Linked DNA regions of Struthio camelus. The protein of the gene in region 2 interacts with the protein of the main gene of each other region in a pairwise test. Links are inferred from orthologs where the notes say so. Each region holds a gene or a part of one and is shown on either strand. Other genes may lie near its edges.

Region 1 (7,152 bases), on a different chromosome or scaffold from region 2:
GAGGGATGGATGGAGGGATGGAGGGATGGATGTGGACACAGGGCTGGAGGGAGGGATGGTGGGAGGGATGGAGAGATGGATGGAGGGATGATGGGATGGTAGGAGGGAGGGATGGAGGGATGTGGGGATGGTGGGATGGATGCAGGGATGGATGGAGGGATGTGGGGATGGTGGGAGGGGTGGAAGGAAGGATGGAGGGATGGAGGGATGCGGGGACAGACGGAAGGAAGGATGCAGGGATGGATGCAGGGATGGAGGGATGGAGGGACAGATGGAGGGATGTGGAGATGGAGGGATGGAGGGATGGAGGGACAGATGGAGGGATGTGGAGATGGAGGGATGGATGCAGGGATGGAGGGATGGAGGGACAGATGGAGGGATGTGGAGATGGAGGGATGGAGGGACGGAGGGACAGATGGAGGGATGGATGCTGGGATGTGGGGATGGACGGATGGAGGGATGCAGGGACAGATGGAAGGAAGGATGCAGGGATGGATGCAGGGATGGAGGGATGGATGCAGGGCTGCAGGGATGGATGGACGGATGGAGGGATGGATGGAGGGACGGACAGAGGGATGGATGGAGGGATGGAGGGATGGATGCAGGGCTGCAGGGATGGATGGACGGATGGAGGGATGGATGGAGGGACGGACAGAGGGATGGATGGAGGGATGGAGGGATGGATGGAGGGCTGCGGGGACAGATGGATGGATGGAGGGATGCAGGGATGGACGGACGGACAGATGGATGGATGGAGGGATGCAGGGATGGATGGATGGATGGAGGGATGGATGGAGGGATGCAGGGACGGATGGACGGACAGATGGAGGGATGGAGGGATGCAGGGACGGACGGAGGGGTGGATGGAGGGATGGACGGAGGGATGGACGCAGGGATGGACGGAGGGATGGATGGATGGAGGGATGGAGGGATGCAGGGATGGATGGATGGATGGGGGGATGTGGGGACGGATGGACGGATGGAGGGATGGATGGACGCAGGGACGGACGGACGGACGGACGCGGGGATGGACGGAGGGATGGACGCAGGGATGGACGGAGGGATGGATGGAGGGACGGATGCAGGGATGGACGGAGGGACGGATGGAGGGATGGATGGAGGGATGGATGCAGGGATGGACGGAGGGATGGAGGGATGGATGGGGGATGTGGGGACGGAGGGACGGACGGAGGGACGGACGGAGGGATGCAGGGACGGATGCAGGGATGGATGCAGGGATGGAGGGATGGACGGAGGGATGGAGGGATGGATGGAGGGACGGATGCAGGGATGCAGGGATGGATGGATGGATGGATGGACGGAGGGACGGACGGAGGGATGGATGGAGGGACGGACGGAGGGATGCAGGGACGGATGCAGGGATGGATGGATGGATGGGGGGATGTGGGGACGGATGGACGGATGGAGGGATGGATGGACGCAGGGACGGACGGACGGACGGACGCGGGGATGGACGGAGGGATGGACGCAGGGACGGACGGAGGGATGGATGGAGGGACGGATGCAGGGATGGCTGCAGGGACGGATGCAGGGATGGACGGAGGGATGGAGGGATGGAGGGATGGATGGGGGGATGTGGGGATGGACGGACGGACGGAGGGACGGACGGAGGGATGGATGGAGGGACGGACGGAGGGATGCAGGGACGGATGCAGGGATGGATGCAGGGATGCAGGGATGGACGGAGGGATGGAGGGATGGATGGAGGGACGGATGCAGGGATGCAGGGATGGATGGAGGGATGGATGGAGGGATGGATGGAGGGATGGATGGACGCAGGGACGGACGGACGGACGGACGCGGGGATGGACGGAGGGATGGATGGAGGGACGGATGCAGGGATGGATGCAGGGACGGATGCAGGGATGGACGGAGGGATGCAGGGATGGAGGGATGGATGCAGGGATGCAGGGATGCAGGGATGGATGGAGGGATGCAGGGATGGACGGACGGACGGATGGATGGATGGAGGGATGCAGGGATGGATGGATGGATGGAGGGATGGATGGAGGGATGCAGGGACGGATGGACGGACAGATGGAGGGATGGAGGGATGCAGGGATGGAGGGATGGACGGAGGGATGGAGGGATGGATGGAGGGACGGATGCAGGGATGCAGGGATGGATGGATGGATGGATGGACGGAGGGACGGACGGAGGGATGGATGGAGGGACGGACGGAGGGATGCAGGGACGGATGCAGGGATGGATGGATGGATGGGGGGATGTGGGGACGGATGGACGGATGGAGGGATGGATGGACGCAGGGACGGACGGACGGACGGACGCGGGGATGGACGGAGGGATGGACGCAGGGACGGACGGAGGGATGGATGGAGGGACGGATGCAGGGATGGCTGCAGGGACGGATGCAGGGATGGACGGAGGGATGGAGGGATGGAGGGATGGATGGGGGGATGTGGGGATGGACGGACGGACGGAGGGACGGACGGAGGGATGGATGGAGGGACGGACGGAGGGATGCAGGGACGGATGCAGGGATGGATGCAGGGATGCAGGGATGGACGGAGGGATGGAGGGATGGATGGAGGGACGGATGCAGGGATGCAGGGATGGATGGAGGGATGGATGGAGGGATGGATGGAGGGATGGATGGACGCAGGGACGGACGGACGGACGGACGCGGGGATGGACGGAGGGATGGATGGAGGGACGGATGCAGGGATGGATGCAGGGACGGATGCAGGGATGGACGGAGGGATGCAGGGATGGAGGGATGGATGCAGGGATGCAGGGATGCAGGGATGGATGGAGGGATGCAGGGATGGACGGACGGACGGATGGATGGATGGAGGGATGCAGGGATGGATGGATGGATGGAGGGATGGATGGAGGGATGCAGGGACGGATGGACGGACAGATGGAGGGATGGAGGGATGCAGGGATGGAGGGATGGATGCCGGGATGCAGGGATGGATGGATGGACGGACGGACGGACGGAGGGATGGACGGACGGACGGACGGACGGACGGCCGCGGGGATGGCTGCGGGGACGGCCGGACGCAGGGCTGCGGGGACCGAGGGCCGCGGGGACGGAGGGTGGGACACGCCGCGGGGGAGGCAGCCGGCGTCTCCGGCGTCTCCGGCGGCCCCGGGGCGCCCGGGCCCCGCCCGCCGCTGCCGCCCGCTGCCGCCCGCTGCCGCCCGGTGCCGCCCCCCCCCCGCCCCCCCCCGCCCCGCCCCGCCCCGCCCCGGCGGCTCTGCGGGCTCCGGAGCGGCCAGCCGCGGCCTGCGCCCCCCCGCCGGTAACCTCCCCCCCCTCCACCGGTAACCCCCCCCCGCCGGTAACCCCCCCCCCCCGCCGCCCGCTGCCGCCGGGCCCGGCCTTTGCCCGGCCTCCCGCTGCCCCCCGCATCATCCCGGGCCCCCCCCCCCGCCCAGCATCATCCCGGGCCCCCCCCCCAATTATCCCGGTCCCCCCCCCCCGCCCAGCATCATCCCGGGCCGCCCCCCCCATTATCCCGGTCACCCCCCCATCATCCCGGTCACCCCCCCCAGCATCATCCCGGGCCCCCCCCCCATCATCCCAGGCCCCCCCCATCATCCCGGCCCCCCCCCCGATCATCCCCGGCCCCCCCCCCAGCATCATCCCGGTCCCCCCGCTATTACCCCGGTCCCCCCCCCCGCAGCATCATCCCGGTCCCCCCCCCTGCAGCATCATCCCGGGCCCCCCCCCAGCATCCCGGTCCCCCCCCCCAGCATCATCCCGGGCTCCCCCCCATTATCCCGCCCCCCCCCCCGCAGCATCAACCCGGTGCCTCCCATCTCGGGCTCCTTCCGCATCATCCCGGTCCCCCCCCCCATTATCCCGGCCCCCCCCAGCATCATCCCGGTCCCCCCCCCATTATCCCGGCCCCCCCCAGCATCATCCCGGGCCCCCCCCCATTATCCCGGCCCCCCCCAGCATCATCCCGGTCCCCCCATCCCGCTGCCCCCCCCAGCATCCTGGTCCCCCCCCCCCGCCGCATCACCCCGGTCCCCTCCATCCCAGCCCCCCCCCCATCGCGGCCCCCCCCCCAGCATCCTCCCGCCCATGGCCCCCCGACGGGGTGAGGCCTGACCGGACCCGGCGCCCCCCCCCCCAACGCGCCCCCCCCCACCCCGGCACCGGCCTGCGCGGCCGCCATGGGAGAGGCCGGGGGCTGAGCCCCCCCCCAGGTACCGGCACCGGCGGGGGGGGGGACCGGTTACCCGGGGGGGGTCTGATTTGGGGGGGGGACCGGCTACTGGGGGGGGGCTGATACTGGGGGGGGACCGGCTACTGGGGGGGGCTGATACTGGGGGGGGACCGGTTACCCGGGGGGGGGGTCTGATACTGGGGGGGGGACCAGCTACTGGGGGGGTCTGATATTGGGGGGGGACCGGTTACTGGGGGGGGGTGTCTGATATTGGGGGGGGGACCGGCTACTGGGGGGGGTGTCTGATATTGGGGGGGGTCGGTTACTGGGGGGGGCTGATACTGGGGGGGGACCAGCTACTGGGGGGGGTCTGATATTGGGGGGGGACCGGTTACCCGGGGGGGTGTCTGATATTGGGGGGGGGACCGGCTACTGGGGGGGGGGCTGATATTGGGGGGGGTCAGTTACCGGGGGGGGCTGATATTGGGGGGGCACCGGTTACTGGGGGGGGGTGTCTGATATTGGGGGGGGGACCAGCTACTGGGGGGGGACCGGTTACCCGGGGGGGTGTCTGATATTGGGGGGGGGGACCGGCTACTGGGGGGGGCTGATATGGGGGGGGACCGGTTACTGGGGGGGTGTCTGATATTGGGGGGGGGACCGGCTACTGGGGGGGGCTGATATGGGGGGGGACCGGTTACTGGGGGGGGTCTGATATTGGGGGGTCCTGATATTGGGGGGGGGTTGGTTACTGGGGGGGGCTGCAGGGACGGGGGGGGGGAACGGGTGTCCGCAGGGTCCCGGTGTCCCTCGGCCTGGTGAGCCCCCCCCCATTGCCCCCCCCATTCGGTGCCTCGTGCGGGGGCCTCGCACGCCCCCCCCCGCCACCTCGCACACGCGTGTCGGCCGGCTCTGCGGGACGGTGGCGTGTGCGTGGCCGGGGGTATGCACGCGTGTGCGTGTCCGGGCTGGGGGGGGGTATGCACACGTGTGTGCGGGGTCGCGTGTGCACCGGGGGGGGGGCGGTTACGGGTCCCCGGGGCTGCTGGGGAAGGCAGGGAGCGCCGGGGCGGGCGCGTTGCACGGCTGCACACGCGTGTGCGGGGGGGGGGGTGTGCACGTGTTTCGCAGGGTTGCCTGCGCCGTGGGGGGGCACGCGTGTTGGGCGGGTGGAGGGGTATCTGCACGTGTGTGCACGCGTGTGTGCATTGTGGGGGGCATGCGCACGCGTGTGCACGCGTGCGTATGTTCACTGTGGGGGCGTGCACACGCGTGTGCATGGGTGTGCACTATTGGGGTGTGCAAACACGTGTGCATGTGCGTGTGTGTGTTCACTATTGGGGTGTGCACACACATGTGCATGTGTGTGTGCACTATGGGGTGTGTGCACACGCGTGTGCATGGGTGTGTTCACTATTGGGGTGTGCACACGCGTGTGCATGGGTGTGTGCACTATGGGTTGTGTGCACACGGGTGTGCATGTGTGTGTTCACTGTGGAGGCTGTGCACACGCGTGTGCATGTGCATGTGTGTGTTCACTGTTGGGGCGTGCACACGCGTGTGCATGGGTGTGCACTATTGGGGTGTGCAAACACGTGTGCATGTGCGTGTGTGTGTTCACTATTGGGGTGTGCACACGGGTGTGCATGTGTGTGTGCACTGTGGAGGCTGTGCACACGCGTGTGCATGTGCATGTGTGTGTTCACTGTTGGGGTGTTCACACGCATGTGCATGTGTGTGTGCACTATGGGGTGTGTGCACACGCGTGTCCATGGGTGTGTTCACTGTTGGGGCTGTACACACGCGTGTGCATGTTTGTGTGTGTGTGTTCACTATTGGGGTGTGCACACGCGTGTGCATGTGTGTGTTCACTATTGGGGTGTGCACACGTGCGTGCATGTGTGTGTGCACTATGGGGTGTGTGCACACGCGTGTGCATGTGTGTGTTCACTATTGGGGTGTGCACACGCGTGTGCATGGGTGTGTGCACTATGGGTTGTGTGCACACGGGTGTGCATGTGTGTGTGCACTATGGGGGCTGTGCACACGCGTGTGCATGGGTGTGTGTGTGTTCACTATTGGGGTGTGCACACACATGTGCATGTGTTTGTGCACTATGGGGTGTGTGCACACGCGTGTGCATGGGTGTGTTCACTATTGGGGTGTGCACACGGGTGTGCATGTGTGTGTTCACTGTGGAGGCTGTGCACACGCGTGTGCATGTGCATGTGTGTGTTCACTGTTGGGGTGTGCACACGGGTGTGCATGTGTGTGTGCACTATGGGGTGTGTGCACACGCGTGTGCATGTGTGTGTTCACTATTGGGGTGTGCACACGCGTGTGCATGGGTGTGTGCACTATGGGTTGTGTGCACACGGGTGTGCATGTGTGTGTTCACTGTTGGGGTGTGTGCATGGGTGTGTGCACTATGGGGGTGTGTGCACACGCGTGTGCATGTGTGTGTTCACTGTTGGGGTGTGTGCATGGGTGTGTGCACTATGGGGTGTGCACACGCGTGTGCATGGGTGTGTTCACTATTGGGGTGTGCACACGTGTGTGCATGTGTGTGTGCACTATGGGGTGTGTGCACACGGGTGTGCATGGGTGTGTGCACTGTGGGGGCTGTGCACACGCATGTGCATGTGCATGTGTGTGTTCACTGTTGGGGTGTGCACACGCGTGTGCGTGTGTGTGTGCACTGTGGGGGACACAGGGATGGGCTCTACTGGGCCGTACTGGGCCGTACTGGGCTGTACTGGGCTGTACTGGGCTGTGCTGGGTTGTATTGGGCTGGACTGTTTCATACTGGTTCGCACTGGGCTATACTGGGTTGTACTGGGCCATCCTGGGCTGTGCTGAACTGTACTGGGCTGTACTGGGCCATATTGGGCTATGCTGGATTGTACTGGGCTGCACTGGGCTATACTGGGCTGGACTAGGCTGTACTGGTCTGTATTGGGTTATACTGGGCTGTACTGGGCTCCATTGAGTT
Region 2 (7,195 bases):
TATGACATAATGCAGCATTCAGCACAACCACAATCTGCATATAATATGTATAGTTCCTGTTTGCTGTGGCCATGTTCTGCCCTCAGCCTGCTCTCCTGCAGCCCCACTGACATCATGCAGCCCTGTATACTTAAGTTACACAACCTGCTCCTCTGGGAAGTGAATTATATCCCCCCCCTCCTCACTTCATACTGCTGGTGACAGTGCTATAGTGTTGAGCAGTTGCAGCGAAGCCTGATACATCTGTCTGCAGCTAGAAGTCTTTAGTTTACACAACTGGTGTTAAGACACTAAGTGAATGATGACAGCAGCACTGTTGATGTTTAGGAAAAATAAGTACGTAACCAATTACTCAAGCTCCCAGCACTGCTCAGCTGTACAGAGCTGCTTGTGTTTACAAAAAGGAAGCTCTGCTCTAACCTACTGTATCAACACCTCCACTGTGACATGAGGAATGTCACGTCACTCGGCTTCATCGAAAATGTGGAATCACCTTTTCACACCAGTGTTCACAGAAAAAGGTGTGTCCCTAGCAGCTGGCTGCCAACTCTCCCTGCACGCCCTCCAGCATCATCCCCTGCTATCGGCTTTGCAACACAGTTGATATTTGTCCATGCATCCTGGCAGATGGACTGTGCACTTGGTATCTCAGCCCTTCTGGTCAGGATGCAGCTGGGGATCTGTGGCTTTCTTCTTCAGTAGCTGCAAGACTTCTCCTTGCTCCTTGCTGTAGCTCATGTTGCCTGGGCCACTCTGGTGATGGGAGTCTTTTTGCACAGTTCCTGATAGAATTCAGATTCTAAAAACCGTGGATATGAGTTATTCTCCATTAAGCTATAAACTCTCTTCTGTGCGGCACTGAAGCAGGTATGTGTAGCTTCTTGAATATTCTGAGCAATCAGGTTCTTGGTTTGAAAATCTATGTTTATCTGAAATACAAAGAAGGACACTTACTTCAGAGAACTACATTTTGTAACAGGTGAGAAAAGTTAAAGACCCTATTGCTACAGCCTTCAATTGATGAAACTTCCTTAAGGAAAGCAGTTCAGATGATATGATGTTTCCATGTTTAACTCTCAGATATGTTACAGGTATTAAATGATGCTCTGATTTTTTTCCTAGCTGAAATAAGATGGGTGCTCTCTGAAACACGGTTTGTGCAGTTTTCCAACCTAGTGAAAATGCAGTTAGGGAAGTGAGTTCTGATCTGATGCAGATACTAACAAGGAGCTATGTATGATGAATTTTTGGCATTTAACTTGAAATGAGTGCAGAGAAATAAAGCAGGGCTTTACAAAGCCACAGAATAGGGCAATTGTGTTTATATAGTTCCTTTTACCTCTTTGGGAGCTTCCTTTTCAATGAAGTCATTGTAAATCTTTTTTGCTTTCACTGTCAGCTTCTGGGGTGACTTGATTTTCTTGAAGTCCTCGCATGCCAGCCAGAACTCAATGTTCTCTTCACAAAACTCTGACTTCAGAAAAGCTCGGAAAGCAGCAAGACCATCTAGGGAAAGGCGGGGGGGAAGCAAAAATACATCAATTACGTATTTCAGGAATCTTGAATTTACCCATTTGTCATGTCTTCTCCTACCAAACATATTGCTGTAGTTCTGGTGTATTTCTTTCACGGATGCCATGGCAATAAAAGTCCACATTTATGTATGCAAACAAATTAACGCTCTAATGGCTTGGCAAGCTTCACTTAAGTTAGCTGTTTTTAGGTAAACACAAATGAAAGCCATCTCTAGCCTCTGTTCCCTTTTGTGATGTATGCATGTATACTTTAAAATTTTCTCTTGATAGGATTTAATGTGTTAACCTTTAGACTGGAGTAAATATTTATGACACTGCTACAAACCTCTGGAATATTTTTGTGGCAGAAAGGATGACTCAAGGTCAAAGAGCAAATGCTGATGTTAGTTCTTAGTCCTTTTTGCCCTGCTGCTAAGCGCTTTCCTTGCAGGGCAATGGTAAAACCCAGAGATTATCGACTGAACTTCTGTTGACACCAGTGTTGCAAAACAATTTCCAAATTGTTGTAGTGCATTTGTCTAGGATATGCAGAGAGCACAGTGAACAAATGCACTTTGGCATTTGGCAAAGCCAACTAGAGGTATGGTTTCATTGCAGAGGTTATAGCTAAAACAAGAATAAATTCCTCTACTACAAAGTGTTCTCGATGTTTCAATATTGGCTTACAAATAACTTGAAAATAACATTTCTATAAATTCGGATTTGAAATGGTTTAAAGTGTTTATTTCCAAGATCAGAATCGAAGCTGTGTGCATTAGCAAAAGTGAGGTATATGGCTGACACACAAGGAAGAAACCTCCTAGAAATGCATAGAAGCTTCACCCCCCTTTTGTTCCTAAAAGTTACTTTTTAAAGACAAACTTACATTTGTTAGCAAGAAGTTCATCAAAAGCTTCTGACCACAGCTGGGCTTCTTCAGGGGAAGGTCTGCATAAAGCAATGGAGAATACATTAGACTACAGCTCTTTTTTGTTTGCAAGATATTTGAGTCACTTCAAGTCTGCTTCTCAGAAGTTACCTGAAGTAGGTGTGGTGCTTTCCTGCTTTCTTGGATTTCATTTTAGTAGAACTGGAGGAGTTTTGCAGGAAGTAGCTCAGTCTCGTTTTCCAGTCTCTAATGCTGGAAGAATGAAAAAGGGGTGTTTAAAGTGACTGCTCGGAAAGGCCGAGAGGTGGTGACTTCTTCCCCCCCCGGCAGCGGCAGCACCGCTCGCTCCGCGCCCCTCCGCGGCCGCGCTGGCTCGCGGGCAGCAGCCCAGGCGCGAACCCCGACTCACATCGTCCTCTTCACCCGGCCCTTCTCCTCCGCCTCCTCGCCGCGGCGGCGGCCGCTCCGCTCCATCTGCGCGCCGCGGTGCTGCAGCGCCAGGAACAGCGCGCTCTGCATCGCGCTCCGCTCGTCTCCGCGCTCCGCTCGGCCCGGCCCGGCCACGCTGCGGCCCCGCCGCCGCTGCGCGCTGCCTTATAGCCGGGCGGGGGGGCGGCTCCGCCTGCGCCTCCGCCCCCGCGGAGCGGGCCCGGCCCCTCCTGCCGGGCGCGGAGCTCCCAGAGGGCACGCTCGCTGTTGGTAAGCGAAGACGGGCAGGGGCTGTGCTCCAGCCCAGAAACCCTCGGAAACCTTTTTTCCCTCCTCCCCTTCTTTTTCTTGTTCTCCTCCTCCTGCCCTCGCTCCTGGTTGCTAGTGTCTCGGGAGGTTTTTGCTGCTCGCAAGGGAGCCCGTCCCGCAGGTGCTGGCGGAGCAGCAGCTCTTCGTTCTGCTCTGTGAGTCAGAGATGCGGTTCGGCAGGTGTGTTTTTAAGGAAAGACACGCTTTTGAGTGTGGCCAGTACACAGGCGCCTTCAAGGATAAGGAAGGACTCTGTAGCCACCTTTCTTCAAAGAAGTGAAATAATTGTAAATCTGAGTATTTGGTGTTTGTAGTGTCCGCCTCTGAGCTGACTCGGGCTATTCATCACTTTAATAAGCTGTCCGTGCTTTTTTTATTCCTGTGTAGTGTTGCCACCTACCAACGACTTGTGTAAATTACTCTCCGTGCATGAAGCTGAAATTGCAATGACTTCAGCCTTTGGCTTGCTGCAGAGGCCATGTGGTCCTTCTCAGCGGTGTCTGTCTGAAGGGCATCATGCCCAAAGACTTTTCGATTTGTGAATCATATGAGTTTCTCTTTAACCTGCCCTACTTTTCTCCTCTTTTCTGTGAGTGTGTCTTCCTTTCCACACTGCTCTACACCACATTTTTCTGCCATGAAAAGCAGAGAGACTATTTGACTCCCACCATGCTGACTGGTTTCCTTGCAGTCATGTAGCTCTGAATGCCTGCTCCTTCTCGGTGATTGCTGCAGTCTGATAACCTCAGTGGCTGCAGCGTACGGCTGTGCGAAGGCATTTTGCTGTAGATGAGATATATGGAGCAAATGAATGTCATGTAATTTGTAAAAATGTCTGAATAAGGTTGCTTTTCAGTGCTGCCTGTTGGATGTCCTTTGCAGGATATGTTGAGGGGGGTCTGGTAGGAAAATAAAATCCCATCCTCTGAACTTTACAGAATTGCTTTGAATGCTTTTTGCAGCAGGTAGCTCTTAGCTGTATATATAATTACACATTTTTGATGGGAGATTGTTATGAAGATGTTACCATGGGGGAGAGGGCCTGTGGAGACACCAGGGGAGGTAAGGCGGTGTGAAAACATCAGTGTCAGAAGCTCCATTGGTGGGAGTTTGCCCAAGAGCAGGGCAGCAGTGATGGTGCCTGTGTGATGGATAGAGCTGTGCTGACTTGCTTCCAAGCATCTCCATCCTTGCTCGCAGCAAGCTCCATGGTCGGCCGAGCTGTGCAGCTGCAAATGATATGGGCAGGAGCTTGCCAGGAGCTGCTGAACAGCCTGTAACTTGCTGGAGGCTGGGAATGCTGTCCGCACATGTGAACTTCATGGCACGCGGCCTCCCCACTGGGGTGGGTAGGCTGCTCTGGCATAAACTGGAGCTCACTGGAAACACAGCCCAGGGCCTTACCCAGAGCAGAGCAGATTTTTCTCACCCAGCTGCTGCAAGGCCATGACGCTCAGCATATCATACTCTTCTGCCTGATTGGGAGTGATTTCCCCCCACACACACTTTTGATGCTGGTTTCAAGTTTCTTTCACCTTGATTCACCCAGAGTCCCTTATCTTTGAATATCTGCCCTGGAATTAGTAGCATAGTATGAACTGTAACTTGTGTAGCTTCTCGGTGAACTTGGGGGATTTCTGTCTGTAGGTCTGCTACAGAAGCTCATCAAACTCTGAAGCAGGGTCTTGAAATAACTTGGACCTGCTTGGGAGGGGCGGGGAGTCTGCAGGGAAGCTCAAAGAGATAAAAGTGTTTTGGAGTGGTGTAATTATAGGATTGGCAGGTGTATATGATCCTCCATAGATGCTTGTGGGGAAAGGTGCAGAGTAGTGGGAAAACAGGACAGTAACTGAGAGGGGATGGAAACAGCCAGTGGCTCTGAGAGACCTGAGGAAAAATATGCCCAAGAGCAGTGGAAATGAGAACTCCAAAGTCCAAGCTACAGTAAGGTTTGGTTAAGCAGTCAGAATTTGGGGGCTTATCCGTATCAAACACGAGAACCTGCTGAAGTTTGAAGCTTGACAAAATGCTTTCTTGATACTTCGGGAGGAGACTTGTAAGGTAAAGCTGAAATATTCCCATGCGTCTGCCAAGTTGTAAAGTTGGCAGTAGTTGGTGTATGGAAAATTGCAGTGGGAAACGTGTTTGTCTGATCCTTTTTATTGTAAACTTTTTAATTGCCTCTTTCAGATACCCATAAAAAAAGTGCCTGTTAAGGAGGGACCTTATAAAATTTGTAATCTCTTTGAACAGTGGAAAAAAATAAATAGTATTCCAGGTTTTAAAAAAAAAAAACACAAGCTGAATATAGAACTGAGATTAGATGGCCTTATAAAATGTACTTACTGGCGCATTCTAGCTTAAGAACTATTGAAATTAAAATCAAATCTTATTGCCTGTATGATGCGTGTATTTTTAACTTACAGCTTGATTGTACTCATAAAGGCTGAGTTTTATTGTTTTGTCTGCAGAAGAACTTTTCAAAATATTTTCCTGCTTCATCGCGCTGTGCAGCGTGATTTCTTTCTCTGATGCTAACCTTTGCTAGAAGGTAGATTACTTATTTGTATGATGAAAGATATTTTCCATTTGTGTAATAACAAAAATCTGATATCAAATGATGTCACTGATGTGCTGCAAAACAGGCTGCAGGGTGTGCTGAGGCTTTGCTGGTGAGGGGGCTTGCTGAGCGGGCAGTTTTAGATGCATCAAACCTAAATATTACCGTGTTCTACCAGTTTCTAGTTTTTTCAAGGCAGGGATGGCAAACTGGCTCAGGACCTCAGCCTGCCTTTCTGAACGTGGTTCAGGTTTCCCCCAATTGCTGCTCTGTACTAGTTGAACCAAGCGAGGAAGTATTGGCCTCTCGATCCTCTTCTGTGCCCCTCTGCTAGCGTTATCCCGAACGTTTTGGGAGAATGAGAAAAGCCCTCGGTTGGGGTCGGAGCACAGGGTTCGGTGTGCTGGTACAGCACAATGCATGACGTGGCCTAAAAATAGGCAACTTCAGATGCCGCGTCAGGCTCCCTATTGGGATGCCGCTCTCCGGGAATGGGCATCTGGTATGTGATCCGTCTGCGCAGCTAACATCAGCATACCAACCAGTCGGGCCAAAATTGTCCCCATGTATGCTGACATCAGTCCTTTCCAAAAGATTAAGCTCTCAGTAGCTGAGGAAAAATCTGTAAATGAAACCTCACTGAAAAGGATAAGACCAAGGCAGTGTGGTGGTGGTGGGGTCTTACAGCCCAAGCTCTGCGATTGAAGTCAGTGAGAATTTAGCCATTGCCTGCGATGAAATCTGGGCTCAAACTTGCAATGACACAAGCTTTCACCCTGGGGATCGCGCTCCTCTTTGTAGAGGCTTTCTTGAGAATGTTCTGTTCTTTCTGTGCTTATAGGATTTCTATTAACCTCAGCAGTAGCGAGATGTACAGAGGGCTGTAACGTATGCAGTGAACATCCAGGAGGGGAAATGAGGCTTTTTCCGTCTTGGTTACGTTATGTGTTGCAATAGCTGTGTTGATCTTATCCGAGTCCCTAGTGAGTAGTACTCACTGCACACTATTTAAATCTGTATCTACATTTTTCTAAAATGCTCATCCTTGTTTATCCTTCTTATAGAGGAGACTTGGATGATGGGGAAGACTTATGAAAAATCATCTGAAGACTTTAGCAAGCTTTCCTAAAGCGAAGAGGGAGGAATGTGCTTTTATGGAGTAGTTCAAACCATGCATTAGTTGTTTGAGAAATGTCTTCTGTTTATTGAACCCCTGTTATCTATGGCTAGCAGGCAAATAATATTCAAAAAGGAATAAGATGTTGAGATGTATCTCTTTGGTCTGTAATACATTTTGCAGATTACACAGGGGCGTTTTCATGTATTTTCACGCTATTCTTTTTTAATTTACAGCTCTGCAGTCCTGGTGCTGTGTCTGAAATGGCTCATTGAAGCATCAGAATAGGAGACCAGCCAAGAGCACTGATGTGCTGCTTCCCACAGCTGGCGCCGACTGAGCCTCTGCTCTTAGCTCTGCTTTAGGCTGTGTCGTCT
Region 3 (7,779 bases), on a different chromosome or scaffold from region 2:
GAGCCCCTAGAGGCTGGCACGGGCCCACACAAGCCTTCAGAGTCTGACACGGGTCTGTACAAGTTCAGCAAGGGCTCGTAGAAGCCCCTAGAGCTCTGTTTGGACCCGTACGAGCCTGTGGAGGCTGGCAGGAGGTCAGAAAAGCCCCCAGAGGCCAGCACAGGTCCATATGAGATTGGCAAGTGCTCATACAAGCCTGTAGAGCTTGGTGTGGGCCCGAACGAGCCCACAGAGGCCAACAGGAGCCCGGGCAAACCCGCAGAGGCCAGCACGGGCCCACACAAGGTCAATAAGGGCCCTTACAAGAATGTAGAGCTCAGTGCAGGCCCGTAGAGGCCAGCAGGAGCCCACACAAGCCCGCAGAGGCCGGCATGGACCTGTACGACCTCAGTGTGGGCTCATATAAGCCCATAGAGCTCAGTGCAGACCTGAACAAGCCTGTAGAGGCCGGCACGGGCCCGGACAAGCTCGGCAAGGGCTTGTACAAGCCCGTAGAATGCGGTATGGGCCCATACGAGCCCGTAGAGGCCGGGACGGGCCTGTAAAAGCTCAGAAAGGGCTTCTGCAAACCCATAGACCTTGATGCAGGCCCATACGAGCCCCTAGAGGCCAACAGGAGCCCGGACAAACCCACAGAGGCCAGCACGGCCTCATACAGTGTTGGCAAGGGCTCGTACAAGCCCCTAGAGCTCTGTTTGGACCCGTACGAGCCCCCAGAGGCCGGCAAGGACCTAAACAAGACCGCAGAGTCCAGCAGGAGTCCGTACAACCTTGGTGTGGGCTTGTACAAGCCCATAGAGCTCGATGCTGGCCCGTACAAGCTTGCAGAGGCTGGCAGGGGCCCGTATGACCTCGGTGCGGGCTTGTACAAGCCCATAGAGCTCAGTGTGGACCCGGAGGAGCCCATAGAGGCCAGCAGGGGCTTGGAGAAGCCCGTAAAGGCCGCCAGGGGCCTGGACAAGCCAGCAGAGGCCGCCACGGGCCCAAACAAGGGCAATAAAGGCTCATAAAAGAATGTAGAGCTCAGTGCAGACCCGAACGAGCCTGTAGAGGCCGGCACGGGCCCGGACAAGCTCGGCAAGGGCTCGTACCGGCCCGTAGAATGCGGTATGGGCCCATACGAGCCCGTAGAGGCTGGGACGGGCCTGTAAAAGCTCGGAAAGGGCTTCTGCAAACCCATAGACCTTGACGCGGCCCGTATGAGCCCCTAGAGACCGGCACGGGCCCACACAAGCCTTCAGAGTCTGACACAGGTCTGTACAAGTTCAGCAAGGGCTCGTAGAAGCCCCTAGAGCTCTGTTTGGACCCGTACGAGCCTGTGGAGGCTGGCAGGAGGTCAGAAAAGCCCCCAGAGGCCGACACGGGCCTGTATGGGGTTGGCAAGTGCTCATACAAGCCCCTAGAGCTTGGTGTGGGCCCCTACGATGCCATAGAGGCCAACAGGAGCCTCGACAAACCCACAGAGGCTGGCACAGGCCCATAAAAGGTTGGCAAGGGCTCGTACAAGCTCCTAGAACTCTGTTTGGGCCCTTACGAGCCCATAGAGGCCAGCAAGAACCTAAACAGACCTTTCCCAAGCTCCTACGGGCCCACGTCAGGCTCTATGGGCTCATACCAGCCCTTGCTGCCATTTATGTGCTTGTACGGGCCCATCACGACTTCTACCGGCTTGTACGGGTTCGTGCTGGCCTCTATGAGCTTGTATGGGCCCATGCCAGCATCTATGGGCTTTTATGGGTCCATCTTGAGCTCTATGGGCTCATACAGGCCTGCATGGGGCTCTACAGGCTCATATGGTCCTGCACCAAGATCTATGGGCTCATACAGACCGTTCCTGAGCTGCTACGTGCCCGTGTCAAGCCCTACGGGCTCGTATGGTCCCGTACTGGCCTCTACGGGCTTGTATGGGCCCGTGCTGTCATGTACAGGCTGGTACGGTCCTGCACGTAGGTCTACTGGCTTGTATGGACCCGTACTAGCCTCTACCAGCTTGTACAGGCCTGTGTCAGGCTCTACAGGCTCACAAAGGCCTCTACGGGCCTGTACGGGCCTGTGCCAACATTGTCCAAGCCTGCATAGGCCTCTACAGGCTTGTTTGGGCCTTTGCCAGCCTCTGTGGCCTCATGTAGGCCTGCACAGGGTTCTACGGATTCGTACAGGCCCACACCAAACTCTACACACTTGTACGATCCTGTGCCAAGCTCATTCGGCCCCACGCCGCCCTCTACAGGCTCATACGGGCCCGCACCGAGCTCTAATACTCTGGTACAGGCCTTTGCCAAGCTCGTACGGGCCCATGTCAGGGCCTAAGGGCTTGTATGGGCCCGTGCTGGCCTCTGCGGGCTCATATAGGCCCTTGATGCCTTCTACAGGCTTGCACTGGCCCGTGCTGGCCTCAATGCACTTGTACAGGCCCCTGCCAGGCTCTACAGGCTTGTACAGGCCCATGACAGCTTCTACTAGCTTATACAGCCCTGTGCTGGCCTCTACAGGTGCGAGTGGGCCCGTGTGGGTCTCTATGAGCTTGCACACATGAATGCCAGCGTCTACAGGCTCATATGGGCCCGTGCCACCTTCTATGGGCTTGCACTGGCCCGTGCTGGCCTCAACATGCTTGTGTGGGCCCCTGCCAGACTCTACGGGCTTGTACAAGCAGCCTCTACAGGCTTCTACGGTCCCCGTGTTAGCCTCTACAGACTCGTTGAAACCCATTCCAGCCTCTGTAGGATCATACATGTCCATGCCTTCCTCTACAGGCTTGCATGGGCCTGTGCCAGGCTCTACAGGCTCGTACCAGCCTGTGACTGGTCTCTACGGGCTTGTATAGGTCTGCACCAGCCTCTACAAGCTTGTGCAGGCCTGTGCCAAGCTTGTTCAGACCCATGCTGGCCTCTGCGGGCTTGTACGGGCCTGTGCCAAGCTTGTTCGGGCCTGCGCCAGACTCTACAGCCTATAGTCTACAACTATACGAGCCTGTGCCGGCCTCTGCGGGCTCCTACGGGCCTGGGTGCAGCTCTCCGGGCTCGTATGGGCCCATACCAAGCTCTGTGGGCTGGAATTGACCTTTCCCAAGCTCCTATGGGCCCATGTCAGGCTCTACGGGCTCATGCTGGCCTCTATGGGCTTGCATGGGCCTGTGCTGGCATCTATGGGCTTGTTCAGGCCCATCTTGAGCTCTACGGGCTTGTATGGGTTTGTGCCAGCCTCTACGAGCTTGTATGGGCCTATGCCAGCATCTATGGGCTCGTACGGGCTCAAATCGATCTCTGTGGGCTTATATGGGTCTGTGCCAAGCTCCTATGGGCCCGCAGTGGGTGCTATGGGCTCGTGCAGGCCCACCTTGAGCTCTATGGGCTCGTACGGGCCCACACAGGGTTCTATTCCAAGCTCTAGGGGCTTGTACAGGTTTGTGCCAGCCTGTATGAGTTTGTACAGGCCCGTTCTGGCCTTTGCGGACATGTTTGGGCCCGTGTCGGTCTCTACGGGCTTGCACAGGCCCATGGCAGCTGCTACAGGGTTATACGCATAAATGCCAGCCTCTATGGGCTCGTATGGGCCCCGTCACCTTCTATGGGCTCATACTGGCCCGTGCTGCTGGCCTCAACACACTCGTACAGGCTCGCTCTACAGGCTTGCCAGGCTCCAAAGGCTCGTACGCACCCATCCCTGCCTCTGCGCGCTCATACAGGCACGTGTCAGCCTCTATGGGCTTCTACATGCCTGTGCCAGGCTCCTCAGCCATGTTTGGGCCTGGCCTGGCCTGGCCTCTAGGGGCTAGGCTCGTACAGGCGCATACAGGCCTCTACCATCCGATTCGCACCTGTGCTGTCCTCTACGGGCTTGTATGGCCCCATGCTGGCCTCTACAGGCTCATATGTACCCATGCCAACTTCTATAGGCTCATAGGGGTCCATAGCGGCCTCTATGAGCTTGTACTGGTCCGTGCTGGACTGTACAGGCTCACACGGTCATTTAACTGGCCTCTAGGGGCTTGTATGGGCCCATGTCAGGCTCTATGGCCCTCTAAGGGTTGGTGCCAGTCTCTACAAGCTCGTATGGGCCCGTGCTGGCCTCTACAGGCTCCTACAGGCTCGTGCCAGTCTCTTGTAGACCTGTACGGCGTCATGGCAGAGTCTACAGGCTCGTACAGGCCTGTGACTGACCTCTACGGGCTCATGAGGGTCTGTGTCAGGCCCTAAGGGCTTGCAGGGGCCCATTCCACGCTCTATGGGCTCATACAGGCCTGTGCCAGGCTCTACGGGCTCGTACAGGCTCATTCCAGGCTGGGTCCCTGAGGTGAGCAGGGCCCCAGACACCTCGATCCCTGAGGGAGCAGCGCCCCGGACGCCTGGGTCGCTGGGGTCCCCACCCCCAGGCTGGTGCATCCCATCCCCGTCTGGTTGCCCCCCGGGTGTGGTCTGTGAGGGGGTCCGCCCCCCCGAGGCAGGGACCAATGAGCAACGTCGCCCCCACGAGGTGCCCTGGTTGATCAGGCTGCAGCAGAGCAGGGCGTCGCAGCCAATGAGGCGCCGCCATCTTCGCCTAGCTCCTCTGATTGGGTGTTGCCATGTGACCGAGGTGAACGGCCTCTGCCCAGCTCGTGCCCCTGGCCGCGCTCTGGGACCCCCCCGCCCCCGGCAGCCAATAGGGCCGGCCCTGGGGCGTAGCCACGACAGCATTGGGGTGGGCGTGGCAAAGCCCGGCCCAGTACGACAGCCAATCAGAGTCGCCGCTGGAGAGGGTGTGTGGCCGGCGCGTAGCCACGCCCCTGTGCCGAGGGAGGGGTGGGTGGCCGCCGCGCGTGGCCCCGTTGCGCGGGATGATGGCGGCGGTGCGGGTGGCCAGGAGCGCGGCGCGGTGGCTGCGGGCGGGCGGCGGCGGCGGCGCAGCGCGGTGAGAGGCGGCGCCGGGACCCGGCACCGGGACCCGCCCCGACCCCGGGGACCCGCCTCTGCCCTCAGTCCCGGGCACCGGGGTCCAGCCTTGCCCCCTCAGCCCTGGTCTCTGTCCCCTTCTTCCCCCTTCCCTCAGTCCCCCATCCCTTGTGCCCTCCTCCCCTTGTCCCTCTGTCCCCTTGGTCCCCCTTTCCCCCATCCCTCTGTCCCCCCGTCCCCTTGTCCCTCCATCCCCCATCCCTCTGGCCCGCCATCCCCCCGGTCCCCTTGTCCCCCCATCCCTGCCCTCCACCCCTGCCACCCCCGCCTCACGTCCCCATCCCCTCCGTCCCCAGGCCCCCCTCACACGGGGCTGCCCCACGCTGGCTCCCCGCCCCAGGACATGTCCCTGTGTCCCTGCGCCAGGACACACGCAGCCACGGCCGGCCTGGCAGCACCCCGTGCTGCAGAGGGGGGTTGTTTACCCTGCCCCCCCCCCCCACCCCGTGGTTAATGTGTTACCAGCTGCCGTGCAGCGGGCCAAGGTCCGGCCGATGACACGGCATCCCCGAGGAGGCTGGCGCAGGGCAAGCCTCCCCTGCGTGCCACCGCCCCACCGTGGCCCCCCCCAGCGCTGCCTCCCCGAGCCTGCAGGCAGCCCGGCGGGTGCCACCGCCGGTGCCCCCGGTGTGGCGCAGGGGCCTACGCCCTCGCGTGATACCCAGGAGCCTCTGCCCTCGTGTGACACCCAGCCACGCTGCCACGAGTGTCCCTCGCCCTGGGGAGGCTCTTCCCCGTGGGTTGCCCGTGCCCTGAGTGCCTGGTGGGCTGCCCATGCCGGAGCGGGACGAAAGCGGGTGCCAGGGAGCCTCCTCCTTCACAGGGCCCCAGTGACACGTGTGCTAGTGGCACACGCGCGTCCTGGCTCCGACGGCAACATGCCACCAGCAGCCTCAGACAGGCCAAAAAAACCCAAAATCCAGCGCTGGGGGAGCTGCTCCCTGGTTCCGAGCGCAGCTCTCCTGCAAGGCTCTGGACAAGGCATTTTCGCGCCTCAGTTTCCCTCTTTGCAACACAAAACGAATGAAACCAGCCTCCCACAAAGCCCTGTGAGCCAGCCAGTGCTGTCTGTGAGCGGATGCTGCTGGCTGCCTGCAGACTCAGGAAGGCAGAACTGCAAGCAAAACTCCCTCCTCGTTCTTATCGTAACCGATGTCGCCCCCCAGGGTGACACCGGCGTCTCGCAGGGGCTACGCGGGGACGACCGAGGGCAGCTGGCTGCGCTCACTCTTCGTGCACAAGGTGGATCCCCGCAAGGATGCTCACTCCAACCTCCTGGCCAAGAAGGAGACCAGCAACCTCTACAAGATCCAGTGTGAGAGGCGCCGGGGGCAGGCAGGGCCAGGGGCACCTCGGCACAGCTCCGCGGCACCTCCGCACCCCGTTATTTGGCCGTTTGCCCCATTTCTGTCCCCAGCTCAGTGGCTGCTCTCCACTTGGGGCAGCTCCTCCCCGGGCCTCAGCTCCTGCTCTCACCCTCTCGCCCTCTCTCCCACAGTTCACAACGTGAAGCCCGAGTGTCTGGACACCTACAACAGCCTGACGTGAGCCTCCCGTGCGGGTCAGGGTCACCCAGCGTCCCTGCAGGGAGCACCCAGGGGGCTACTGAGGCTGGTGCAGGGCTGGGGGAGCTCACACCGAGCTGCTTCAGGAGCCCCCGGCAGGTTTCTTATTCTGGGCCTCAGTTTTCCTTCCTGTGAAATGGGTGCAGGGAGCTTCCCGCAGGGGTGAGGCCAGGTTGCGTTGGGATGCAGCCCCTGGCTGCCGCCTGCCATCTCCTGGGCGTCCCCTGGGGCACAAGGGTCCCCTGCAATCCCCCATGTCCCCGCAGGGAGGAGGCGCTGCCCAAGCTGCACGCGGACGCCGACTACCCCTGCACGCTGGTGGGCAGCTGGAACACGTGGTATGGCGAGCAGGACCAGGCAGGTCAGTGCGGCAGCATCCCTGCAGCGGGGGCACAGCAGCACTGGGGCCTCGGCGGCCTCCCGCCCTCAGGGAAGGGCCGTGTGGGCAAGGGAGGGTACAATTTTGGGGGGGAAAGTGGCAAAACAGAGCTTTGAGAGGGTGCTGCTGGGAGCTATGCACGGCTCTGTCCTGGTATCACCCGGCCGCCCGGGAGCGAGTGCTGGCGGGTCCCTGGGCTCGGTGGCACCCCATAGGTGCCTTGTCCTTGCAGTGCACCTCTGGCGCTTCTCCGGCGGGTACCCGGCACTCACCGAGTGCATGAACAAGCTGAAGCAGAACCAGGTAGCACTCAGGGCGGCACCGTGCCGGGGTGGGGGGGACACTGGCGTGTCCCTGGGCATCCCCATGGCCATCCGGGCTCCCCGCAGGAGTACGAGGCCTTCCGGCGCGAGCGTAGCAAGCTGCTGCTGGCCCGTCGCAACCAGCTGCTGCTCGAGTTCAGCTTCTGGAACGAGCCCCTGCCCCGGCCTGGGCCCCACGTCTACGAGCTGAGGACCTACAAACTCAAGGCGAGTGGCCCCACGCGGTGCCGGGGGCAGGGGTGCAGGGAGCCACCCGCTCAAACGTTGCTGGTTTGCTTCTCCCTTTCCAGCCGGGGACCATGATCGAGTGGGGCAATAACTGGTAAGGAGACAGCCTGGTCTCTGCCTCAGTTTCCCCCCTGCCCCAGGCACTGCCTCAGTTTCCCAGCTGGTCCCGTCCTTGGGGGCCGTCCTCCACTCCCTCGTTCCCTGCACAGTCCCTGGGGCTGTGGACAGAGGAGGAGGAGGAGGAGGAAGAGGAAGGCTTCTGGCACCCCACAGCAGTTCTTTCCCCCCACCCCGGCCAGGGCTCGGGCCATTAAGTACCGGCAGGAGAACCAGGAGGCCGTGGGTGGCTT
Region 4 (7,027 bases), on a different chromosome or scaffold from region 2:
CGGCGGCGGCGGGGTGGGGGGGGGCCCGCGGCCGGCGGGGGCCCGCGGCACCCACCTGCAGCAGCGTGGCGGGCCAGGGGCTGTGGCGCAGGTGCTTGACGATGGAGATGTGGCGGCCCAGGCTGCGGTGCACGCTGCAGCACTCGTCGCAGATGAGCACGCCGCGGTTGATGGAGGCCCAGCCGGGGTCTGCGGGGGGCGCGCGGGGCGTCACAGGGCGCCCTCCCCGCCCCGGCCACCGGCCCCCCGCTGCCCCACTGCCGGCAGAGCCGGGGGGGGGGGGGGATGCAGGGGACCCGTTGCCATGGAAACCCGAAGGTTTCCCTAGCTACCGCTGCGGGCTCAGCCCATCGCTAGGGAAAACCTGAAGGTTTCCCTTAGCAACATGGCAAAATGGGTTGGGGGGGGGCAGGATTGGGCCGAGCAGGGGCTTTGGCGGGGGGGGAGGGAGTCGCACCCACCAGGGCTGCCCCGAGCTGCAGCTCCGGCGTGCGCAGCTCCGGCAGGCCCCGGGCGGCCGGCGAGCGGCCCGGCGCGGGGGGCAGGCGGGGAGGGGGGGGCAGGTGCTGCGGCCCCCTGCCCGCCGCCGGGCCCCTTCCCCGGCCGGGCCGCCCTTCCCCCCCGGCCGGCCGGACTGGAGCCCTTTGTATCCGCGCGAGAACAAAGGGCCGTTTGAGCGGCCGGGCGCTCCGGCTCCGAGCTGGCACCGGCGGACGGGGGGGGGGCCCTGCCCGCCTCGGCCCTTCGGCGCCCGCTCGGGGCCCGGCGGCGGGCGCACGTGCAGCTCCCGACGCCCGGGCGCTGGCCGACGCGAAGGGGCCCTCGGCGCGCCCGGGCCGCCCCGCAGCAGCCAGGACGCGGCCGGCGCAAGGTCACCGCGTCCCCGGCGGGCGGGAGCCTCCGGAGCAGCCCCCGCGGCGGCCGAGGCCGCGAGTTCGGGAGCATCCCCCCCTCCCGCCCGGCAGCAGCCCCCGCAGGGTGCCCAGGCCCAGCTCGGCGCTGCCCCTCTGGCCCCCCGGGGCCGCTCTCGCGGCCGCAGCGGGACGAGGACCCGTTCCCCTTACCCCCGCGGAGGAAGCCTGGCGGGCGGCGATGGAGCCAGCCCGCCCCGCGCTTCCTTCCTGCCCCGGCAAAAGGGCGGCCGGGGTCGCCGGCACGCCGGGCCCCTTCCCTCCGCCCGCGGCGGGTGCTGCCGCAGAGCTGCCCCCGCCGCCACGGGGCGCCGGGGGTCCCCGGGGCCGGGGCGCCGTGCCGCGGTGCACAGCCCTCGCCGGCGGCCTGGCGGCTCCGCGGGCGCAGATGGCGGAGCCTTGGCAGCCGGCGCGGCCGCATCTGTGCCCGCGCGCGCTGCCCGCGGGGCGCTGCGGGAACGGCCCGCCGCGCCGGCGGGCAGAGCCAGGGAGGGTCCCCGCCGCCCCCCCCGCCCGGAGCCCCTGCGTTCGGCTTGGCCGGCCGGCGGGCTGCACCAGCGGGGCCCGGAGAGGCGCCCGGCGCCGGCGGGGACCACGCCGGCACGGCGCCCCGCGCGATGCCGAGGGCGGCATCCGGGGACGCGCGGGCGGCGAAGCGGCGGCGTGCCGGGCGGGCAGCCCGCGGCGCTCTCCCCCCGCGCCGGGCGGTGGGACGCAGCCCCGCTGGACTTTATAACTCATTTCCTCCCCTGGCTGCCGGGTGATAAGAGAGTGGAAGAAACCGGTTCCCATTTCGCTGCGCCGGGAGGAATCCTTGACGCACGGCAGGCCTGGCGGCGATGCCCCCGTCCCCCGGACTCGCCTGCCAGCGCAGGGAAGCGCCCCGACCCGCGGGGCTGCTCGGCTCCCACGCGCGCCCGGCGGCTCTCCTGGCAGGATCCGGCCCTTGGCACGCGGCCGGAATAATTCCAGCACACCCTTCGCCCGGAGGCAGCTTTCCGGGCCCGGCTCCGAGCGGAGCGAGCCTCGACGCTCGGCCCTTTTCATTCATTAGCTCCGCGCCGCGGAAACGCGCCTGGGCCGGCGGCGGGCACGGCGGCGGGCGGCAGCTCGGGGGGCTGCCCCGGCCCCCTCCCCGCTGGCTGCGCGGCGTGCCGAGCACCGGGCTGGCATCCGGCGCGGGGGCTGCCGGGCACCGGCGCAGCCGGGGACGCGAATCGTCTTGCCCAGGCTCAGGCTTCGGCTTGCAGCGCGGCCGGCGCGGGCCTGGCGCAGCCCTGCGCGGCGTCGCCCAACCTGGCCCCGGCCGGCTGGGGGTGCCAGGCAGGAGCGGGGGGTCGGGCAGGAGCGGGGGGCCCCTCGGCAAGCCGGGGGGAGAGGGAGGGGTCCCCCCACGCTGCCACTTGCAGGGTCCCCGGTGCTGCTGGTGCAGGCCAGGTGCGTCCCCAGCCTGCAGCAGCAGCCCCCGCGCCCGGGGGGTGCAGAGGACTGGGGGGGGTCGTGCACTGGGGGGGCTTTGGGGTGCACTGGGGTCGCAGCAGGGCCTTCCGGGGGCGGGGGGTTTGCTGGTTAGGGCTCACTGGGGGTACATTAGGGGTATACCGGGAGATTCCTGGGGTGCAACACGGGTGCACCAAGGGGCTCCGCAGGGGCACGCTGAGAGCACACCAGAGGGGATGCGGGGGCACACCGGGGGGCTCACCGGGGGGGAGGACGGGGTGCCCCGCGGCATGCAGGGGGGGGGCAGCGGGGAGAAAAAAGGCTGCCCCGCGGCATGCAAAGGGGGGGGGGCAGCCGAGGGCGCAGCGCGGGGTGCACCACGGGGGTGCGGGGGGGGGGACACGGGGCGCCCCGCGGCGTGCCAAGGCGGCTCACTGGGGCGGCAGCGCGGCTGCACCGCGGGCTCACGGCGGCGGCGAGCCGGGGCCGCAGCGGGCCGGGGCCGGCGGCGGCGGCGGCGGCGCGGCCCTTACCTGGGGCGCTGCAGTCGGCGCACACCTCCGCCCGCTGCGCCTTCCGGGACATCCTGAGCGGCGAGGCGGGCCCGGGCCCGGGCCTCTGCGCCAGCGTGCGGCGGCGGCGGCGGCGCCGGGCCCGCCGGGGGCGCCGGGCCGGGCCGGGCCGGGGCGCGGCGGCGGCGGGGCGCGGCGAGGGGCCCGGGGCCGGGGCCGCGGCGCGCCGGGGCTGCCGGCTGCTCCCAGCGCCCGGCGGCTCCGCAGGAAGCGGCGCAAGCCCGGCCCCGCCGGGGGAGGGGCAGCGCCGCCCCCGCCCCGCCGCCCCCGCCGCCGCCGCCGCCGCCGGCACCGGCACCGCGGCACCGGCCCGGCCCGGCCCGCGCGCCCCCGCCGCCGCCGGCCGCGGGCCTCTGCGCCGCCGGGCTCGGGCCTGGGCGCCCCCCGACCCCGCGGCTGGGCACCGCTGCCCCGCTCCTGCGCACCGCGCCCCCGCTTTTGGCACCGTCCCGGACCTGCTCCTGCTGCTGCTGCTGCTCCTGCTCCTGGTCCCAGTTCTGTGCATCCCCCTGCCCTGCTCCCGCTCCTGCTCCTGGTCCCGGTTCTGTGCATCCCCCTGCCCTGCTCCTGCTCCTGCTCCTGGTCCCGGTTCTGTGCATCCCCCTGCCCTGCTCCTGCTCCTGCTCCTGGTCCCGGTTCTGTGCATCCCCCTGCCCTGCTCCCGCTCCTGCTCCTGGTCCCGGTTCTGTGCATCCCCCTGCCCTGCTCCCGCTCCTGCTCCTGGTCCCGGTTCTGTGCATCCCCCTGCCCTGCTCCTGCTCCTGCTCCTGGTCCCGGTTCTGTGCATCCCCCTGCCCTGCTCCCGCTCCTGCTCCTGGTCCCGGTTCTGTGCATCCCCCTGCCCTGCTCCTGCTCCTGCTCCTGGTCCCGGTTCTGTGCATCCCCCTGCCCTGCTCCCGCTCCTGCTCCTGGTCCCGGTTCTGTGCATCCCCCTGCCCTGCTCCCGCTCCTGCTCCTGGTCCCGGTTCTGTGCATCCCCCTGCCCTGCTCCCGCTCCTGCTCCTGGTCCCGGTTCTGTGCATCCCCCTGCCCTGCTCCCGCTCCTGCACCTGGTCCTGGTTCTGTGCAACCCCCTGCCCTGCTCCTGGTCCCAGTTCTGTGCATCCCCCTGCCCTGCTCCTGGTTCTGGTTCTGGTCCTGTGCATCCGCCTGCCCTGCTCCCGCTCCTGGTCCTGGTCCCGGTTCTGTGCATCCCCCTGCCCTGCTCCCACTCCTGCTCCTGGTCCCGGTTCTGTGCATCCCCCTGCCCTGCTCCTGGTCCCGGTTCTGTGCATCCCCCTGCCCTGCTCCCGCTCCTGCTCCTGGTCCCGGTTCTGTGCATCCCCCTGCCCTGCTCCTGGTCCCGGTTCTGTGCATCCCCCTGCCCTGCTCCCACTCCTGCTCCTGGTCCCGGTTCTGTGCATCCCCCTGCCCTGCTCCTGGTCCCGGTTCTGTGCATCCCCCTGCCCTGCTCCCGCTCCTGCTCCTGGTCCCGGTTCTGTGCATCCCCCTGCCCTGCTCCTGGTCCCGGTTCTGTGCATCCCCCTGCCCTGCTCCCGCTCCTGCTCCTGGTCCTGGTTCTGTGCATCCCCCTGCCCTGCTCCTGGTCCCAGTTCTGTGCATCCCCCTGCCCTGCTCCTGGTTCTGGTTCTGGTCCTGTGCATCCGCCTGCCCTGCTCCCGCTCCTGGTCCTGGTCCCGGTTCTGTGCATCCCCCTGCCCTGCTCCCGCTCCTGCTCCTGGTCCCGGTTCTGTGCATCCCCCTGCCCTGCTCCTGGTTCTGGTTCTGGTCCTGTGCATCCGCCTGCCCTGCTCCTACTCCTGGTCCCAGTTCTGTGCATCCCCCTGTCCTGCTCCTGGGCACCATCACAGACCTGCTCCTGATCCTGCTCCCAGCCCTGGTTCTGGTCCTGCAGGCCCTCCTGCTCTTGGTCCCAGGCCTGGCCTTGTTCCTGTGCACCCCAGCCCCAGGCCTGACATCCTCCCATTCCTGGGCACTGTCCTGGACCCGCTCCTGGTCCCGGTCTGAGCCCCAGTTCAATGAACACCCCTGCTCCTGGCCTTGGTTGTGGTCCTGTGTACCCCAGGTCTTGGGCATCATCCTGGTCCTGGCCCTGGTTGCAGTGCTAGGCACACCCCTGGTCCTGCTTCTGGTCCTCAGCACCCCCTTCCTCAATACTGGGCACCCTCCTGCTCCTGGTCCTTGTCCTGGCCCTGGGCACCCAGCCCTGGGCACCCCTCTTCTCTGGGTCCTGGTGTCAGCCCTGGTCCTGTGCACCCCCCTGCTCCTGGCCCCAGTCCTGTGCACCCCAGCCCTGGTCCTGTCCCCCACCCCAGGCCCGGCCATAGCCCCTGCCCTGTGCACCCTCCCCAGGGCCCAGCACCAGCAGTCCCCCGTGCCTGGGCTGGTTGGGGGCCGAGGGGAGCCAGGACACCGGGAAGGGTCGGCAGCGCTCTGGCCCCTGTCCGCGGCGTGGCTAACGGCCTCGGTTCCCCATCCGGAGGTGGGGGTGGCCCCCACCCATGGAGACCTCTGAGATGGATGAACCTCTCCAGGGCGGTGCAGGGCCATATGGGGCCAGGCTCCCTGCACCACAGGGCTGCGCACGAATGATTTGGGTGGGGGGGATGGATAGAGCAGAGTCTGTTTGGGGTCCAGTCCCTGCTCTGGGATCCTTTAATCTCGCAGAGTTGGGGGACACTCCCGAAACCCCAACAGGCCTCTGTGAGCAGCCGGAGGGGCCCCGAGCTGCCGTGTCCTGAACATCTCCTGCTGCACCAGGGCTGGAGCAGCTTCCTCGCCCCGCGCCCAAGTGGGGCTGGTGGCTCGGCCCCAGCTTGGCCGAATCCTGCCGTCCAGCACCACCGCGGGGCAGGCTCCGTGGCCCGGCCGGCGCGGGTGACCTCACTGCTGGTTGCCGTGGAGATGGCTTATGACGTCATAGGGCACGGAAGCCGCGGGGAGCACAGGGCGGATGGGGATGCTGCACGGGGATGCCGGCCACCCCGGCCCCGGGGAGCAGGCAGCGGGGCTGGCGCAGCGGAGGAGCTGGCTGTGCTGCTGCGGCTGTGCTGTTCCGGCCACAGCAACGGAGAATAATAACAATTTGCATTTATTCCTTGGGGCTGTTCCTATGGCGGGGGGGGGGGCGGGGGGCAGCTCAGCAGGAGCGGGGGCAAGGTGGCGGCGGGCCGGGTGGGCCAGGAGCCCCGTGCCGGGGGCTGGGGAGCTGGGCACCTGGCAGCAGACCCTTCTGGGCCCTTCCTGCATCCGTGGGGCACGCCGTGGGGCAGGCATCCCTGCCCGGAGGACGGGAACGCCGTGGGGCGGGTGTCCCTGCCTGGAGAATGGGAACGCCGTGGGGCAGGCATCCACGCCCAGAGGCCAGGAATGCCGTGGAGCGGGTGTCTCTGCCCGGAGGATGGCAATACCGCGGGGCAGGTGTCCCTGCCCGGAGGACAGGAAGGCCGTGGGGCACGCGCCCCTGCAGCAGAGGGGAACGGCGCCGGGGCCGGGAGCGGGGCGCTGGCAGGGAAGGCCGGAGCGCCGCGCCGCGCCGTGCCGGGAAGGCCCAGCCTCGCATTGTTCTCCGGCAGCAGCCGGAAAACACGACTCCCGCCCTGGAGAAACGCAGGCGGAAAAGGAAACGCAGGGGCAGGGGCCGCGGGCCTGGCCTTTCGCCGAGCCGGGGGGCCACGGCGCGGGGGGCCATTTGGCACCCACCGGCACAACCGCCTGTCCCATGGCCCTTGCCGCCCCCCCATCATGTGCCAAGAGCCGCTGGCTCACTGGGGGGGGGGGGGGGGCAGGAAAGGGAGGGAGGAATCAGCTGGGGGTGGGGGGGATCTGCTGGGGGGATCGGGGCCACCGCGGTGCCCCTTCGCGGCCACCTGTGCACGGCCCCATGGCACGCAGGGGCCGGGGGCAGCGGGGGTCCCCGGGGTCCCAGCGGGTCTGGGGCTGGGGGAGCCCCGGGGCGGGGAGCGATGCCGGTGGGAGGAGGAGGAGGAGGAGGAAGGTGACGCGGGCAGGGGGGACTACAAGTCCCATGAGGCCGGGCGGGTGCGGGGGGGTGCCCGGGCCGGGGGGGGGGGTCCGCCGCGCTGCGCTCCGCCCCGCTCCGCC

Evidence for each region.
Region 1: the proteins of RGS2 (region 2) and LRFN1 interact in a two-hybrid assay, tested with the Homo sapiens proteins (2 studies listed by BioGRID and IntAct). The link is inferred for Struthio camelus from reciprocal best matches to the Homo sapiens genes RGS2 and LRFN1.
Region 3: the proteins of RGS2 (region 2) and NIPSNAP1 interact in a two-hybrid assay, tested with the Homo sapiens proteins (2 studies listed by BioGRID and IntAct). The link is inferred for Struthio camelus from reciprocal best matches to the Homo sapiens genes RGS2 and NIPSNAP1.
Region 4: the proteins of RGS2 (region 2) and GIT1 interact in a two-hybrid assay, tested with the Homo sapiens proteins (2 studies listed by BioGRID and IntAct). The link is inferred for Struthio camelus from reciprocal best matches to the Homo sapiens genes RGS2 and GIT1.

What each region holds. Positions count from the first base shown.
Region 1 is NC_090957.1:1,630,270-1,637,421, forward strand, and holds the start of LRFN1 (leucine-rich repeat and fibronectin type III domain-containing protein 1), read left to right. Parts: upstream 1-4,149; 5' UTR 4,150-4,200; intron 4,201-7,152. UniProt on the Homo sapiens protein: Promotes neurite outgrowth in hippocampal neurons. Involved in the regulation and maintenance of excitatory synapses. Induces the clustering of excitatory postsynaptic proteins, including DLG4, DLGAP1, GRIA1 and GRIN1.
Region 2 is NC_090949.1:10,318,300-10,325,494, reverse strand, and holds the start of RGS2 (regulator of G-protein signaling 2), read right to left. Parts: upstream 3,013-7,195; 5' UTR 2,923-3,012; coding exon 2,813-2,922; intron 2,656-2,812; coding exon 2,554-2,655; intron 2,463-2,553; coding exon 2,401-2,462; intron 1,507-2,400; coding exon 1,340-1,506; intron 930-1,339; coding exon 735-929; 3' UTR 1-734. UniProt on the Homo sapiens protein: Regulates G protein-coupled receptor signaling cascades. Inhibits signal transduction by increasing the GTPase activity of G protein alpha subunits, thereby driving them into their inactive GDP-bound form.
Region 3 is NC_090958.1:5,138,578-5,146,356, forward strand, and holds the start of NIPSNAP1 (protein NipSnap homolog 1), read left to right. Parts: upstream 1-4,776; 5' UTR 4,777-4,819; coding exon 4,820-4,893; intron 4,894-6,100; coding exon 6,101-6,249; intron 6,250-6,432; coding exon 6,433-6,478; intron 6,479-6,765; coding exon 6,766-6,860; intron 6,861-7,110; coding exon 7,111-7,181; intron 7,182-7,267; coding exon 7,268-7,408; intron 7,409-7,491; coding exon 7,492-7,523; intron 7,524-7,728; coding exon 7,729-7,779.
Region 4 is NC_090957.1:16,988,740-16,995,766, forward strand, and holds the start of GIT1 (ARF GTPase-activating protein GIT1), read right to left. Parts: upstream 3,004-7,027; 5' UTR 2,937-3,003; coding exon 2,885-2,936; intron 190-2,884; coding exon 56-189; intron 1-55. UniProt on the Homo sapiens protein: GTPase-activating protein for ADP ribosylation factor family members, including ARF1.